Linked DNA regions of Stegostoma tigrinum. The protein of the gene in region 2 interacts with the protein of the main gene of each other region in a pairwise test. Links are inferred from orthologs where the notes say so. Each region holds a gene or a part of one and is shown on either strand. Other genes may lie near its edges.

Evidence for each region.
Region 1: the proteins of spg21 (region 2) and s100b interact in binary tests that used the Homo sapiens proteins (3 or more experiments, as listed by UniProt). The two-hybrid records come from large-scale screens. The link is inferred for Stegostoma tigrinum from reciprocal best matches to the Homo sapiens genes SPG21 and S100B.

The regions. Positions count from the first base shown.
Region 1 is NC_081360.1:22,921,836-22,929,627, forward strand, and holds the start of s100b (protein S100-B), read right to left. Parts: upstream 3,017-7,792; 5' UTR 2,891-3,016; intron 1-2,890. UniProt on the Homo sapiens protein: Small zinc- and- and calcium-binding protein that is highly expressed in astrocytes and constitutes one of the most abundant soluble proteins in brain.
Region 2 is NC_081386.1:721,246-728,192, forward strand, and holds the start of spg21 (maspardin), read right to left. Parts: upstream 3,023-6,947; 5' UTR 2,942-3,022; exon of another isoform or gene 2,907-2,941; intron 1-2,906. UniProt on the Homo sapiens protein: May play a role as a negative regulatory factor in CD4-dependent T-cell activation.

The DNA of each region.
Region 1 (7,792 bases), on a different chromosome or scaffold from region 2:
GACTCCTTGACTTGTATTTTATCTGGGCTGACATCAAAAAACCACAAAGTACACCAAGCACTTCCCACATATTTCATAAACAAATGAGGCAACAGCAGCTTAGAGTTTTCATGGAGTAACACTTTGAACCCTCTCTCCAGTTTCTGCTGATCAAGAAATAAGGAAGACATTTATGAGCTGCAGGATGGGCAGTGAAGAGTTAAAAGGCTGATTCCATGTGTCCTCTCATGTCGGTGCTACGAGAAACCAGGGTTAAAAGAACACTTTTCTTCAGAAAAAGAGAAGCGGGGCATAAAGCTTTAGAATCAAAGTAACTAAAGTTACAGCGGAGTGAGATGAACATTTCTCTGGATGGATGTTAAATGGATTTCCTTTGCCATAATTATCACTGGATTTTGTGAGATGACAGTCTGGGCAATATTTTGTCTCAAAAATTTGCTCCAAAGCATAACTGTTTAAACTTTCAGTCAGTCTGAAAGTAAAGTGGATTTATGTGGATTGACCTTTTGTTCATTGCAGGAAATATTGGTTCATTCAATGTTGCCATGGTTGCAACACCAAGGATTGCTTAATTGATTCATTTAAATTGGACAGTAGGACCACTTGTTAGTATGACTTAATGTTATGACAGGGAGTGCTATTGTATCGGCATTGTTTGTGTGTCAATCTTTAGGATTCCTGAGGATCCAATACCCAATACAAAAGAAACAAGGCAGGTTTGTACGATTTTAAATAAAACCTTAATGCAGTGACAATCCACATTTCTGGTCACTTCACAAATATCACCTCCTGGACTTCCTGACTACAATCTAATAACAAACTCATTGCTGAGAGACTGGCAACCAATTGGCTGTCTACGGATTCTCATGTTTCAACATTGACACTTAATGAATTAAGGGAACATCTCAAAATCCCTGTGCTATGTTGTTTCATTGTTGTTAAATGTTTTCTGAAGGACCAAGTTCAGATCAGTGTCTTGCTCAGGAGCAGTAAAGCAGCTCCATCATTCAAGTTTACTCTGTTAGGTAGCAGTGGGAAATTAATCAGGGAGGCCCATGGCATAACTCATTTTCCCAGGAAGAAAAGCTTGCATTTCTATTGCACCCTTTAAGATCTCGGGACATCGTAAGCTGCTTCCCAGCCAATGTAATACTTTTTAAAGTGTAGACACTGTTCCAATGTAGTCAACCTATAAATCCTTGTTATGCATTTCTAACAGGTAATAAGAGTTGGACAGTCTTGTGGTCAGCCAGAAATGTATAATAGCCTGCAGGACACCAGCTATCCCATGTTAAAAGACTCCACCCACAGGGTCTTAATTGTCATGAGCACACACCAGCCAGCCATATTCTGAGGAACAAAAACACATGCACACAGTCTCTGTCTCTCTTTCTCTCTCACACACACACACACACACACACACACACACACACACACACACACACACACACACACGCACGCTAGAAACATTCGATACATTTACTGCCTTCATCAGAATAATGCCATAAGTTGTTTTAAGTTAGCTGAGAAGGTTGAATGGGGCCTTAATGAACATCTCATCTGAACAATAGCACATCCAGCAGAATTCTCTCAGCAGAAGTGGAGTTCTGGCTGCAATGATGCTCTTAAGACTCTGAAAGTAGCAATAGTGATGTGTGATCCTTGTCCTTGTTCACTTTGCTGTTTTGGAAATGAAGAATGATTTTCTGTAAACTGGAGCTTGTGGGTGGTAATTCACATGCAGGGAGCAGCTCGGATAGGCAGTAATTTACAAAATACCTGTTTCATATTCATTGAAAAGCAGTTTATTTCTTTTGAAGAAGTTGAACACCAACAAAAATGAAAAGTGTAAGAATCCTGTGTCCACCATGTTGGCTATTCTTCAATGTCTTCAAGATGCTTTATGAATTATATATTTTACTCAATCAAGTGGAATCTTACAACAGGCAAGTGGGTTATTCGACTCATCAGGTTTGAACTTGCTCTTTCAGAGGGATAACTAATTAATTCTACCCTTTTTGTTTCTCCCTGCATTTCAAGTGTATTTTCATTCCCCTTTCCAAAGTTACATCAGCCTTTCAAGCAACACAGTCCCGTTCATAACAACTCATAAGTTTAGCGCTTAGAAGCAATGCTTTCCTTTCATGAGCCAGTCACTCTGAAGGGCTTGGAAGGGGACTGGGTTCCATATGCTGTGAACCCCTCCAAGCTCATCCACAGACTCAGTTAGTTGTACGTTCTGCAACAAGTTGCACTGGAGTCCTTAGCTTGAAACAGCACACAGTTTAAGAAACAAAAATCATAAAAACGAGAAACAGATCTGATGATCATTAACTGTCTGTTCCATGTTTCTGTAGATTCAGACTGATCTTGCTGTATCAGTACCAGCCATTCTTTTTAATTTGTTGTTAATTTTGATTTTCAGCATTTGCGTTTTTCTTTTGATCTATTTTTATTCTCTCTGTGATGTTCAAGCACTTCTGCTAAGAAAGGCTTTATCACACTGTCAGGCAGCCTGCCTACCCTATGCTAATTCTGAGGAAAGAAGAAGAGTATAATAAAGCTCCGCTCCCCTGCTGTCTATCCATAGCCCAACAGATTCTTCCTTCTCAAATATTCACCCAATTCTCATTTTAAAATGACAAATGAACCCGCTCCTCTACCCTCTCAGACAGTGGGTTTGACTCTCTCTGTTCAGCTTTGAATCAAGCCTGAATATACTTAAGGAGTGGCTTTATTCCAATTCTCCCAGGAGAAGGACCTTATTTAATAAAATACATTCCAGTCAGAATTTTCCGCTAACGGCATTAAGTGAGATTGTCTTTAACTGACACAGATCATATTGATGCATCCCAGTTTCATTCCACACAAACAGTTTTATTCTCCTTACCTTGGTGTGGTTCCAGCTAACTTTCAGCGTACAGTTGACTGCAAGTTTTTTGCTGTCGGACAGAGATCCTTTTATCCTCTCTTGAGTTGCAAGTTGAAAGCTATTATTGAATTCACTGCAGTCCCTATGCGGATAGTTCTGACCAATCGGTGTACGAGGTTCGCCACATCCCTCAGACTGGCTACATCAGTTGCAACTTAATGAAGTGTAAATGATACAGCAATTTCTTTTAAAGTACCCATCATCTCACTGGAACCTAAGTAGAACATCGCAGAGCTGCAAAACTGTGACGATCTAGATTGTCTCTGATGAATATAACACAATAGACTTGAAGGTTAATTATATTATGTATGGCATGTCTTCCATTACTGTTGGCAGACCTAATATCTGTTGCACAACAATAACCTCTTACGTCTGCTCAGTTCTTGTACATCTCACGTGTCTCCTGAGAAAGCTAAACCAAGTGGAGGAACAAACCTATCCAAATAATTGGTTGGGCCCATGTTTGGAAATTTGCATCCGGCTTCATCAAACCTACCTTAGAGTAAGGAGAAAGCGCAGGAGGGATTCACGATGAGGTGAGCAGACTTAGATGTCATGGGAGGCTAGGGAAAATCGCTTTAGAACGCTACCGGTGGTGCTCACAATAAAGAGAATCTTTGCAAAGGGCAAGTAGTGTGAGGGTTCATGGATAGATGGGTACAGTGGGTCTGAGTGTTTAAGCGCTGTTGGGTACAGGATGCAAGGGTTTATGTACGGTTGGGTACAGTGGTGCAAGGTATTGTGTACAATGGTGTGACTGTTTAGGTACAGTTGGGCACAGTGGGCCAAGAATTTGTGTTTGGCAAAGTGCCAGGGTGAGGGGGTGAATACATTAGGTTCTGGGTGGGAGGGCGGGTGCCAGGTCCATTGGGGTAAGGTCTGTCCAGTCAGGTGGCAGGAGCATGTTGAGTCTTGGGTTGGGGGTGGTGGGGGTGAGGTTGGTGGGGGTGGGGGGGAGTGGTGGAGCGGTGAGAGTTTCCGGTCCTAATGGGGAGAGGAGTTGGATACCAGCACTGGTGGTGGAGGAGGGGTGTATGGGTGTCAGGACATTGGTGAGGCTTAGGGTGCTGGCAGGTAACTATACTGGGAGAGGTGTAGTTGAGAAGGTGGGTAACGTTGAAGGCAGCAATCAGCTGAATAGTTACTCAGGAGTTGTATTTAGGTATTTAACCTTCCACCTTTTCCTCGACAACTGTTTACCTCACAGTAATGGGACCCTCAGAATTTTCTGATTGAAATGGATACTTCTGGAGGCTCCATGCATAGAGCAACTGGCCACCAGAATCTTCAAGTTCTGGGGTAATTTCTTCAGAGTCAGTTATGTCAGGAATTCCACAGAGGCCCAATGTGCAATTCCATACAGGAACAGCTGTGTGGCCCTGGAAAGTCCTTAAAGGAGAACAGGCAGGGATAAACTCTTTCCACTGCTTGGAGATTTTAGCACTTGGTACATAATAGATAGACCTTACAGGGATGAGATTAGAAGACACTTTGACAGAAAAAGAGTAATTGAAGCTTAGAGCTCTCTCATGTAAATGGTATTTGAGGTTAGATCAACTATTGAGTTTAAATCTGAGATTGATGTCTCTTTATTCATGAGAAGTAGTCAGGGATAGCAAGCAAAGGGTTTAGAGTAAGATCAAAGATCAGCTACGATCTCACTGAAGCGCGGAAGTGGGCTTATGGAGCAGAATGCCTTTTAATTCTTCCTGTATCCCTATCCTGTGTCACACAAACACACACACACATGCACACATATATACACACACACACACACACACACTCACACACAGAGACACACACACACACTTACACAGACCCTCTGTCACACAACACATGCACCCACCCATACACACACACACACACACACACACACACACACACAGACACACACACACACTTACACAGACCCTCTGTCACACAACACACGCACCCACCCATATACACACACACACGCGCGCGCGCGCGCGTGCGCACACAGTCTCTCAGACACACACATGAATTATTTCATCTAAGATGTTTGTGTAGTTGCAGATACATTCTGTCTGGTTCAAGAAAAGACCTGACTCCAGTTTAAAACATACACAGAGTATAAACAAGAACTCACACCTAAAATGCATTGTCTGACCCAAGATATCACCTCTTTTATACATTGATAAAACCTTTAATTATCTCAGGACAATGACTTGAAAGGAATCTGGATTGTACATTTAATTAGTAGTCTCCTTCCGAACTGATTAACGATTCAGCAAGAGGTAACCAGTTTTAGGGTTGATACTGTTCTGCTTATAAATTCTGTGTCTTATACCTTCTCTCTCAAACTATGCCTGAGGAAGGAGCTGAGCTATAAAAGCTTGTGTTTTCAAACAAAGCTGCTGGACTATAACCTGGTGTCGTGTGATTTTTGATCTATGTTTTCAAAAGGCACAAAGTTGTAAAAAACACCAAGTTGTGCCTAACACCAAGCACAACTGGTTGTCACTGTGTTATTTGCCACCTTTGAAAACAGACAGAAGGGTGAAGCAGTCGTCATTAACGCGCGGCATGCTATTGCACAGAACATACATTTTTGTGTCAATGGAGACTAATAGGTGCTATGGCTTTGTAAAGAATGTAAATTGCTAGAGTTAAGTGTTAATCAAAGCAACATTTGTGGTAGCCCTCATTATGGATCTTGCTTTCTGTTCTTTCTCTCTGTCTTCTGAAGAGACTGTGACAATGCTGTGGCTTTGAGAGGCTATTTTGTCCTGTTTTTTTTCTAGAAGAGAGGTTTTAAGGCAGGGGTGATGATCAGTTTACCAAAACCATTAGAGTAAACATCTTGTGGAGCCTTGAGTTTGTTTTTAATGTTGGAACAACTGAAACAGCCTGACAGCGGTGATGGTTGTGGGTTGGAGGGAGGGGTGGTGGTGGTCAAGTCCTTATAGAAGCCATAATTAGTTTTCTCCCCAGCAGATGTTGCTGGGGTCTCAGCAGGATTAGAAGGGAGTCAATCTCTCCCAGTGGCTACACTCTCTAAGTTTACTCCCGATGTTTTTCCTCCTGGGCAGCTGGAGTTGCATGTGAGACAATTCTGTTTCCTGATTTTGCTTTTTGACATTCAGTATTTTTATGGGAGGTTACTATATTGGAACAGTTAATGTTTAATAGTAAAATAATCTATTATCCGCTTAAGTTTTCCAATTGAGTTAAGTTATTCCAAGGTCCTCTTTCTTTTGTTGTATTAGAATAAATTGTGTATTGCTGAACATCGAGTAATTTGACCAATCGAATTGCATCTGGACCACATCACTTCACATTTACATTTAAAATAAGAAAAAGTTAGGGTCTAGGCTACCTATTTTATATATTTTGAGGAGGTCTGGTCTGGTCCATAACAAGATGTAGTAGTGAAAAGCCCAAGGTGTTGAAAATGATCCTTTGGTACATATTGAAAGTTTCAAAGGAACTGGAACCAGCCATTATCATTTTTTTCTGTGACCTGTTGGGCTCCAGAAATCAATGACAAAGAAGCATGGGAGGAGCTCATGGAGAAAGGCATCTGGCTGTTTGCTTTACCCAGATTAACTGTGGCAAATATGCTCCATTGTGGAGCATTATGGTGATTAATAGGTCACACAACTTTTTGCAGAGCTCATCTTAGCTAAATGGAGCAAGTTGTGAGAACTGAAGCTTTGTGCATGGAGCCGATTCTCCTTTAATGGCGCTCTATGAACTGATCTGATCTGCATGAACAATATGCCTCACACCAAGTTGAAAGCACAAACGGCACCCTCCCTGTTTCACTAACACGGTTATTTTTGATCCAACATCTTATCCTCACATTTCACGTCAGTTAGATTAATGAATGACAGGTCAATGCACAACCAGGTTTGTGATGCAGCCTCACACTCTTTCATCAGGATGAAATCTGCTGAAGTGATTCGATTTAAACATTTTGAAGAGTGTCACACTTTGTCACATCTTTGTCCAATTTTAATGGAAACATAGGGAGTAAAACAAATCCCCTTTAGACGCCAGGTACACAGATATTTCAGACCCCTGTCTCGTGGTCCGCAAGATATCTGCATGTTATTGCTTAGAAAGAGCTGAATGATCACTGAGGTGGAAACCTGGCACTACAACTGGAAGACACAATGTAAACAATTGCTCAATAACACCCAAACCAAAGCTGGATTTTTCTACCTGTCTTGTGCAGTCAGAAATGCTGAAGTAATGAGATATTTCAAGATTACTACAGCACAAATTCTGAAACCTTTAACAAGTTGTTACTGTATTTTATACTCCTTCATATTCTACTTTAGAAAATGGGAATTGGGATCAATTTTAGATTATTGTTAACAGTTATTCTCTCTGCCTGCACTTTGGATTGGATTGGATGATTATATTGTATTGTAATTGTATTGTACTGAATTGCATTTATTGTGGCCTTACAATCCCGTAGCTAGTGAAAGAAAGTCTCAGGACATCTTCAGAAAGCAGCCCACAACCAGTAAAGCCATTTGAAGTATTGTCACTATTGCAATGGAAATGTGATGATAGACGATACGCACATAATAAGGTGCCACAAACAAAATAAGGTAAATGTTAAGTTTTTTTAACATTGGCAATTGAGGGATACATATTGGTCCGGATACCATGGAGAATTCTCCTACTGTTTTGAAAATATAGTTATGAGGTTTGTTACATCGAGCCGACATGTGGCAATGTCATTTGGAAGGTAGCGCCGTAAGAGGAACAGCCTTCTACCTTAGCCTCAGCTTGGACTAGAGATTTATGTTCATGCAGTGGGACTTGAACTCAGAGCCTCCTGCTCTCAGATTTAAAAGTAAAGCAAACTGAACCGCCACCAATTGTCAG
Region 2 (6,947 bases):
GCTCAACGTAGGGTCTCTCAAACAAAAACACGGGCACTTAAAAGACTGAAATGGAAGAATAGCAAAATCCAACCGAAAAGCTGAATTGTCTGGCACCCAAACAAGGCCAGATGCCAGATTTAAAATATTAGCATTGAGTACAACGATGACTAATCCCAAGGTGTAAGGTGTCATTCAGGTGAACAGAATATTCAAACAACGTGTGTACTGAACGAGCTGCCAGAAGAAGTGGTAGAGGAGAGTACAATAACTTTTAAAAGACATTTGAATAGGGGAGGTCGACAGATATGGGACTATATCAGTTTCGGAAATCCGGTCAGTGTGGATGAGTTGGGCCAAAGGGTCTGTTCCATGATAGATGACTCTATGGCATGACTGATTGAAATTAAAGATGAAGGGTTGTGTTATGAAGCTTACATCATTAGGAGATACTAGAAACATGAAAACTGCCATTTGTGATACTTACTGAAATCTCTGTTGGGCTTTCTTGTGAAAAAGTAAAATGTTGCCTTTTAGTTTGGGAAGCCAGAAGGATACTAAAGTGGCAGATATTCTCACACTTGCTGAGATCAATATGGCATTTTACCTCAAGAAAATATTGGAAGAAATTCCAAGAAAGAAACTTGGCAGTCATATCCTTTGAGTACTATATCAACAATAAATCCTTGAGATATAAGCTTAAAGTATGAATGAAAACACACAATTGAAGACCTATATTCAGCATTCTGAAGGAGGATCACTGGACCAGAAACATTAACTTTGTTATTTTCTCTCCACAGATGCTGCAGACCTGTTTATCCAGTAGATTTTTATTTTCTTGAGGATATATATTGCAGTTTCAAAATAAATACTGAAGAATGGAGAAATCGCCATAGTGACTAATCATAAAGATAAGGTATAGGGTATAATTGGTCCATTTGGCCCATCGAGGCAACTCTGCCATTTAATCATAGCTGAAGTGTTTCTCAACCCTGTTCTTCTGCCTTTTCCCAATGATCTCTCATTCCCTTATCAATCGAGAAACCTATCCAGCTCCACCTTAAACACACTCAATGACTTGGCCACCATAGCATCCTACAGCAATGAATTTCACAGATTCATGATCCTTTGACTAAATAAATTCCTCCTCATCTCAGTCATCCCTTCACTCTGAGGCTATGCGCTCAGCTCCTAGTCTCACTGAGAAGTGGAAACATGTTCACCGTGTCCACTGTATCCAGGCCTCTTCATATTCCCTAGGTTTTAAAATCAGATCACCCCTCATTCCTCAAAACTCCAAGTTCAGGTCCAGAGACCCCACCCACTCCTTACATGACAAGCTCTCCATCCCCAGCAAAATTCTTGCAAATTTCCATCTTTGCCATACGCATCCATCCTTCGACACAGAGCCCAAAACTGGTCAGTGTTCCAAATGAGGCCTGACCAGTGATTGGTACTGCTGAGGATATAGATCTGCTCTTCTATTCCTAACTTTCTTCAAATGAGTACTGACATATTGCATTTGGAGATAGCAAGAACTGCAGATGCTGGAGTCAGAGACAACATAGTATGGAGCTGGAGGAACACAGCAGGTCAGGCAGCAGAGGAGCAGGAAAGTTGATGTTTCAGGTTCAGGCCCTTCTTCAGAACTTGGGGGGGGCATGGGGTGACGTGGAGGAGGGGGGGGGGGGGAGAAGAGAAGTGGAGAAGGGAGTAGGGAGTAGGGAGCTGGGAAATAAGTCGGGGGGGTGTGGCCACTTGCTCCTCAAGCAAGTGTGTAGTGTCATTGTGTCACTGGTGGCAGCCCAGGAAAGACATGTCATCATAGGAGTGGGACTGGAAGGTGGAATTAAAGTGGTTAGCAGCCAGGTATTGTCACTTTGGGAGCCTACAGCTCAATGACCTTAACACAGAATTAGCCAGTTTAAAATCTCCCCAACACACATCTAAACCTCCTGCTCATCCCTGCCTCCTTGACCTGACATAACTTGTCCATCTTCTTCCCCACCTATCTGCCCTACCCTTTCCACTGACCAATCCCCACCAGCCCTACCTACAGCCACCTATAACCATCCCACCTACCTTCCCCCAGCCCCATCCCTCCTCCCTCTATTCCTAACTCCCTTCCCAGTTCTGAAGGAGGGTCTCGGCTCAAAACGTCGACTAAAAATTTTCTTTTAGGAAAGGACTCCAGAACCACGGCAATGCTGTTGACTCAAGAGATCCATTCATATCACAACTCAAACTAAATGAACAAGTTTAGTCATATTGCATGTGCAGTTCTCCAGCAATACCATCATTATAAAAGCATTAGTCAATCATTTTGTATGACGAATGCCAGATTTCAACTTTGTTGATTCCGAATACGCCGTACCAAGGAAGTGTCCGAAAAGTTCGTGAAACGCTTTATCTACATTATCCTTGAGCACCAGGCTTTTCTAAATTCCGATGATTATTACAAATGAATTTCTGTGAAGGTCCTGTAGAATTTTCCACCTTAGTGCAATATTTTCTTAAGAGGTTTACAAACCAGATGCAAAGGTGACTTTGACATCATCATTTCTCATTTTTACCCAAAACGGTTTCTACAGCTTAGGTTATCCCTCTTAACTAATGACAGTTCAAGCAAAACAGAACCACTTATCTACCCTTCCCTAGCTTCTCGTAAAACAAAAAAAAATCACATCTCAATTCTGTTTATAAACGGGGTTTTGAGTCACAGGTGGTAGCAGTTCCCGCACACTACATTCTTCTAGATTGACACTTTCCCCACAAACACTGCCCAGGACACCCCAAGTGCTTGACAAACAAAAGTAACCTACTCCATGAACAATAGCTCACCCCGCAGCCCTCCCTATTTCCGCTTCTCCACAAACACGGGCACATCTTATTACACCCACCACTCAACAAACACAAATAACTCTTACCACAAATACAGTTCCAACCGCGCCCCCCCCTTTACCTTTAAACTCAACTGCAACCGGAAATCATTGTCCCGTGATGAGCCCGCTACGCATCCGGGTCACAAACATGGGAGGAGCTTCCAATCGGTGGGCGGGGTGTTCAAGGCGTAAATGCGTCTTTTGCGGCGAAGGTGGGGCGATAAAGGGGTGTGTCCTTTGCGCAGTGTGCGGGGTGACGTAACTGGAGCAGGCTCACTGTGCCCAGTGGGCGGGGCGAGCGATAAGGCGGGGTGTTCGTTGTTCGTGGGCTGGGCGGGGCGGGGCGGGGCGGGGCGGGGCAAAAAAGTGGGTGTGCTCCTTGACGTGGTGGGCGGGGTTTTGTGCACGGTGGGTGGGGCAAGTGGAAGCTGCTTGACTGCGCAGCTACTCAGTTCAAAAAAATCTTTTTTCGATTCAACATGTTCAGACATGGTATTACACATTTTTTTTAGAGGTGGGACTTCCTGGCTCAAAAGTATGGACACTACCACTGAATCACAAGAGCCCTTAGAAAGTTTTTATTTTGTGTTTTACAGCTTGTAAGGGCGATATTCTGTTTTAAATTTCTCAAGGGAAGAAGACTCCTAAAGTAATTGATTAAATAAAGGTTTAAATCATGGGGGTAAGTCGGCAAGAGAGCTTAATATATGGTTTGCTCTAGTTCCTCCTGTACGTGGGTAGCTAACCATGTTTCCCAAGATTAGAGGCTGTCCTTGACCACTGAAGTGTTCGCCGACTGGGAGGGAATATTCCTGTCTGGCAATTGTTGCGCAGTGTCCATTCATCCATTGTTGTAGCGTCTGCATGGTCTCCTCAACATGCATTAGGACATCCTTGCCTATAACGTATGAGGTAGACAGCGTTGGCTGAGTCACATGAATATTTGCTGTGTACGTAGTGGGTGGTGTTCCCACGTTTGATGGTAGTGTCCATGTCGATGATCTGGCATGTCTTGCAGAGCACATGTCATGGCAGAGCTGTGTGGTGTTGTGGTCGATGTCGCCCTGAAAGCTGGGTAGTTTGCTGTGAACGATGGTGTGTTTAATTTTTGGCAATTGTTTGAAGGTGAGAAGTGGAGGCATATGGATGATCTTGGCAAGATGTTTGTCATCATCACTGACATGTTGAAGGCTGCTAGAACCATGGCGTACTTTCTCCACTTTGGCGAAGTACTGCATGATGAAGGGTACTCTGTTGGTTGTGTCTAATGGTTTCTCATTGTGGCATTTTGAAACTGGCAATCGATGAGTTGAGAGTTGTATCTCATTCTTATGAGGCTGTCCTTCAAAATCTTTAGGTGTCCATTGCATTCCTCCTTGTCTGAGCAGATCTTGTGTATATGCAGGGCTTGTCCCGAGGGGATAGCTTCCTTAACATGTTTAAGGTGGAAGCCAGACATGTACGGCATTGTGAAGTTATCTGTTGGGCTTGCGGTAGAGTGAGGTACTGAGGTGTCTGTCAAAGAACAAAGAAAATTACAGCACAGGAACAGGCCCTTCAGCCCTCCAAGCCTGCGCTGATTCAGATCCTGTCGTCTATTTTCCAAGAATCTGTATCCCTCTGCTCCCTGCCCATTCATGGATCTGTCGAGATACATCTTAAATGACACTATCGTGCCTGCCTCTACCACCTCCACAGGCAACACATTCTAGGCACCCACCACCTTCTGCGTAAAGAACTTTCCACGCATATCTCAATAAACTTTTTGCCTCTCACCTTGAAATCGTGACCCCTAGTAATTGAGTCTCCCACTGTGGGAAAAAACTTCTTGCCACCCATCCTGTCTATACTTCTCATGATTTTGTAGACCTCAATCAAGTCCCCCCTCAACCTCCGTCTTTCTAATTAAATAATCCTGATCTACTCAACCTCTCTTCATAGCTAGCGCCCTCCATACCAGGCAACATCCTGGTGAACCTCCTCTGCACCCTCTCCAAAGCATTTTGGTTATGTGGCGACCAGAACTGTATGCAGTATTCCAAATGTGGTTGAACCAAAGTCCTGTACAACTGTAACATAACCTGCTAAATCTTGTACTCAATACCCCGTCCGATGAATGGAAGCATGCCGTATGCCTTCTTGACCACTCTATTGACCTGCCGTGCCACCTTCAGGGTATAATGGACCTGAACACTCACTCTGTGCATCAATTTTCCCCAGGGCTCTTCATTTATAAATAATTTTCTCTTGAATTGTATTTTCCAAAATGCATCACCTCGCTTTTGCCTGGATTGAATTCCATCTGCCATTTCTCCGCCCAACTCTCCAATCTATCTATATTATGCTGCATTCTCCGACAGTCCCCTTCACTATCTGCTACTCCACCAATCTTGGTGTCATCTGCAAACTTGCTAATCAGACCATCTGTACCTTCCTCCAGATCATTTATGTATACCACAAACAACAGTGGTCCCAACACGGATCCCCGTGGAACACCACTGGTCACAGTTCTCCATTTTGAGAAACTCCCTTCCACTACAACTCTCTGCATCCTGTTGCCTAGCCAGTTATCTATCCACGGCCCGGTGGCTCAGTAGTTAGCACTGCAGCCTCACAGCGCCAGGGATCCGTGTTCAATTCCAGCCTTGGGCAACTGTCTGTGCAGAGTTTGCACATTCTCCCCATGTCTGCGCGGGTTTCCTCCGGGTGCTTCGGTTTAGTAAAAATTAGCTTAGTAATAGGAGATAGAGAGTTTTGCTGAAGTGTAAGTGGTGCCTAGTGTGCAGTGGTGTACCACAGGGATCAGTGCTGTGTCCCTTCTCGTTTGCGGTATTCATAAATTATGCAGACGAAAATGTGAGAGGGATTATTGAATACCAGATATATATCATAGAATCATCATAGCATACCTAGAGCATGAAAGCAGGCCATTCAGCCCATCAGGTCCACACTGACCCTCCAAAGAACATCCCACCTAGATTCACACTCCTCCCTGTAACCCTGCATTTCCCATGGCTAACCCACCTAGCCTGCAAATCCCTGGACACAGTGGGGCAATTTAGAATGGCCAATCTACCTGACCTGCACACCTCTGGACTGTGGGAGGAACCCAGAGTGCCTGGAGAGAATCCACACAGGCACAGGGAGAACGCGCAAACTCCAAGTCTGGAATCGAACCCGGGTGCCTATTTAACATATATTACTGATTATAACCACACTCCTATTATAGACAATGACTTGTTTGGTTTTGTGAGTAAAGTCACAAGGACTTTAGTTTAGAGACTTTAAAAAAATTAACTGAGAAAAGATGACTAAGTAAATTAGAACATATTTAACAGAGGAATAATACCAGAATCCCAGGGTAAGTCTCTTTAGTTCTGAAAATCTACTCACCTGCTAAAAACTAAATTGATGTATTTAGTTTTAATTCAAAACAGTACCACAATCGGTAAAATGTAAGATAAATCAATTTATTTTAGCCTGCTACCATTTGTTACTAAGAAACCAATCCAATGCCTTATCACTAAAAGAAATACTGAGCGGAGGAAAACTAAATTGATTCTGGAATTCAGAACATGGTGTCATGGGGGGCAGTTTGATGAATCTGGGCTGATAGAACACATCATATGAACTAGACAGGAATTTCACTTTGATAACAAAGTGTGAAGCTGGATGAACACAGCAGGCCAAGCAGCATCTCAGGAGCACAAAAGCTGATGTTTCGGGCCTAGACCCTTCATCCTTCAGGAGCACAAAAGCTGACGTTTCGGGCCTAGACCCTGGACACTGTTCAGAAATGTGTGGAAATACAGCAATCCTGACCTCTAATAAACTATAAGAACACTAAAAATGAAATTCAGATAAGATGAGAGCTTCCCTGTTATAGTCAATATTAGTTAACTGTGCCTAGCATAAGTCCAAACTGCTTCTGCTTCCCCCATTTCTCCCTTCCCCCTCAAATAAAAGGATGAAATAAACATGAGACTTTGACCTCATGACCTCCTAGTTTTTAAATCAAATCATCACAATCAACTCCAGGCAATAGTAGACCCATTGTTTTGAATATTTAGTTTAAGATGGCATTTG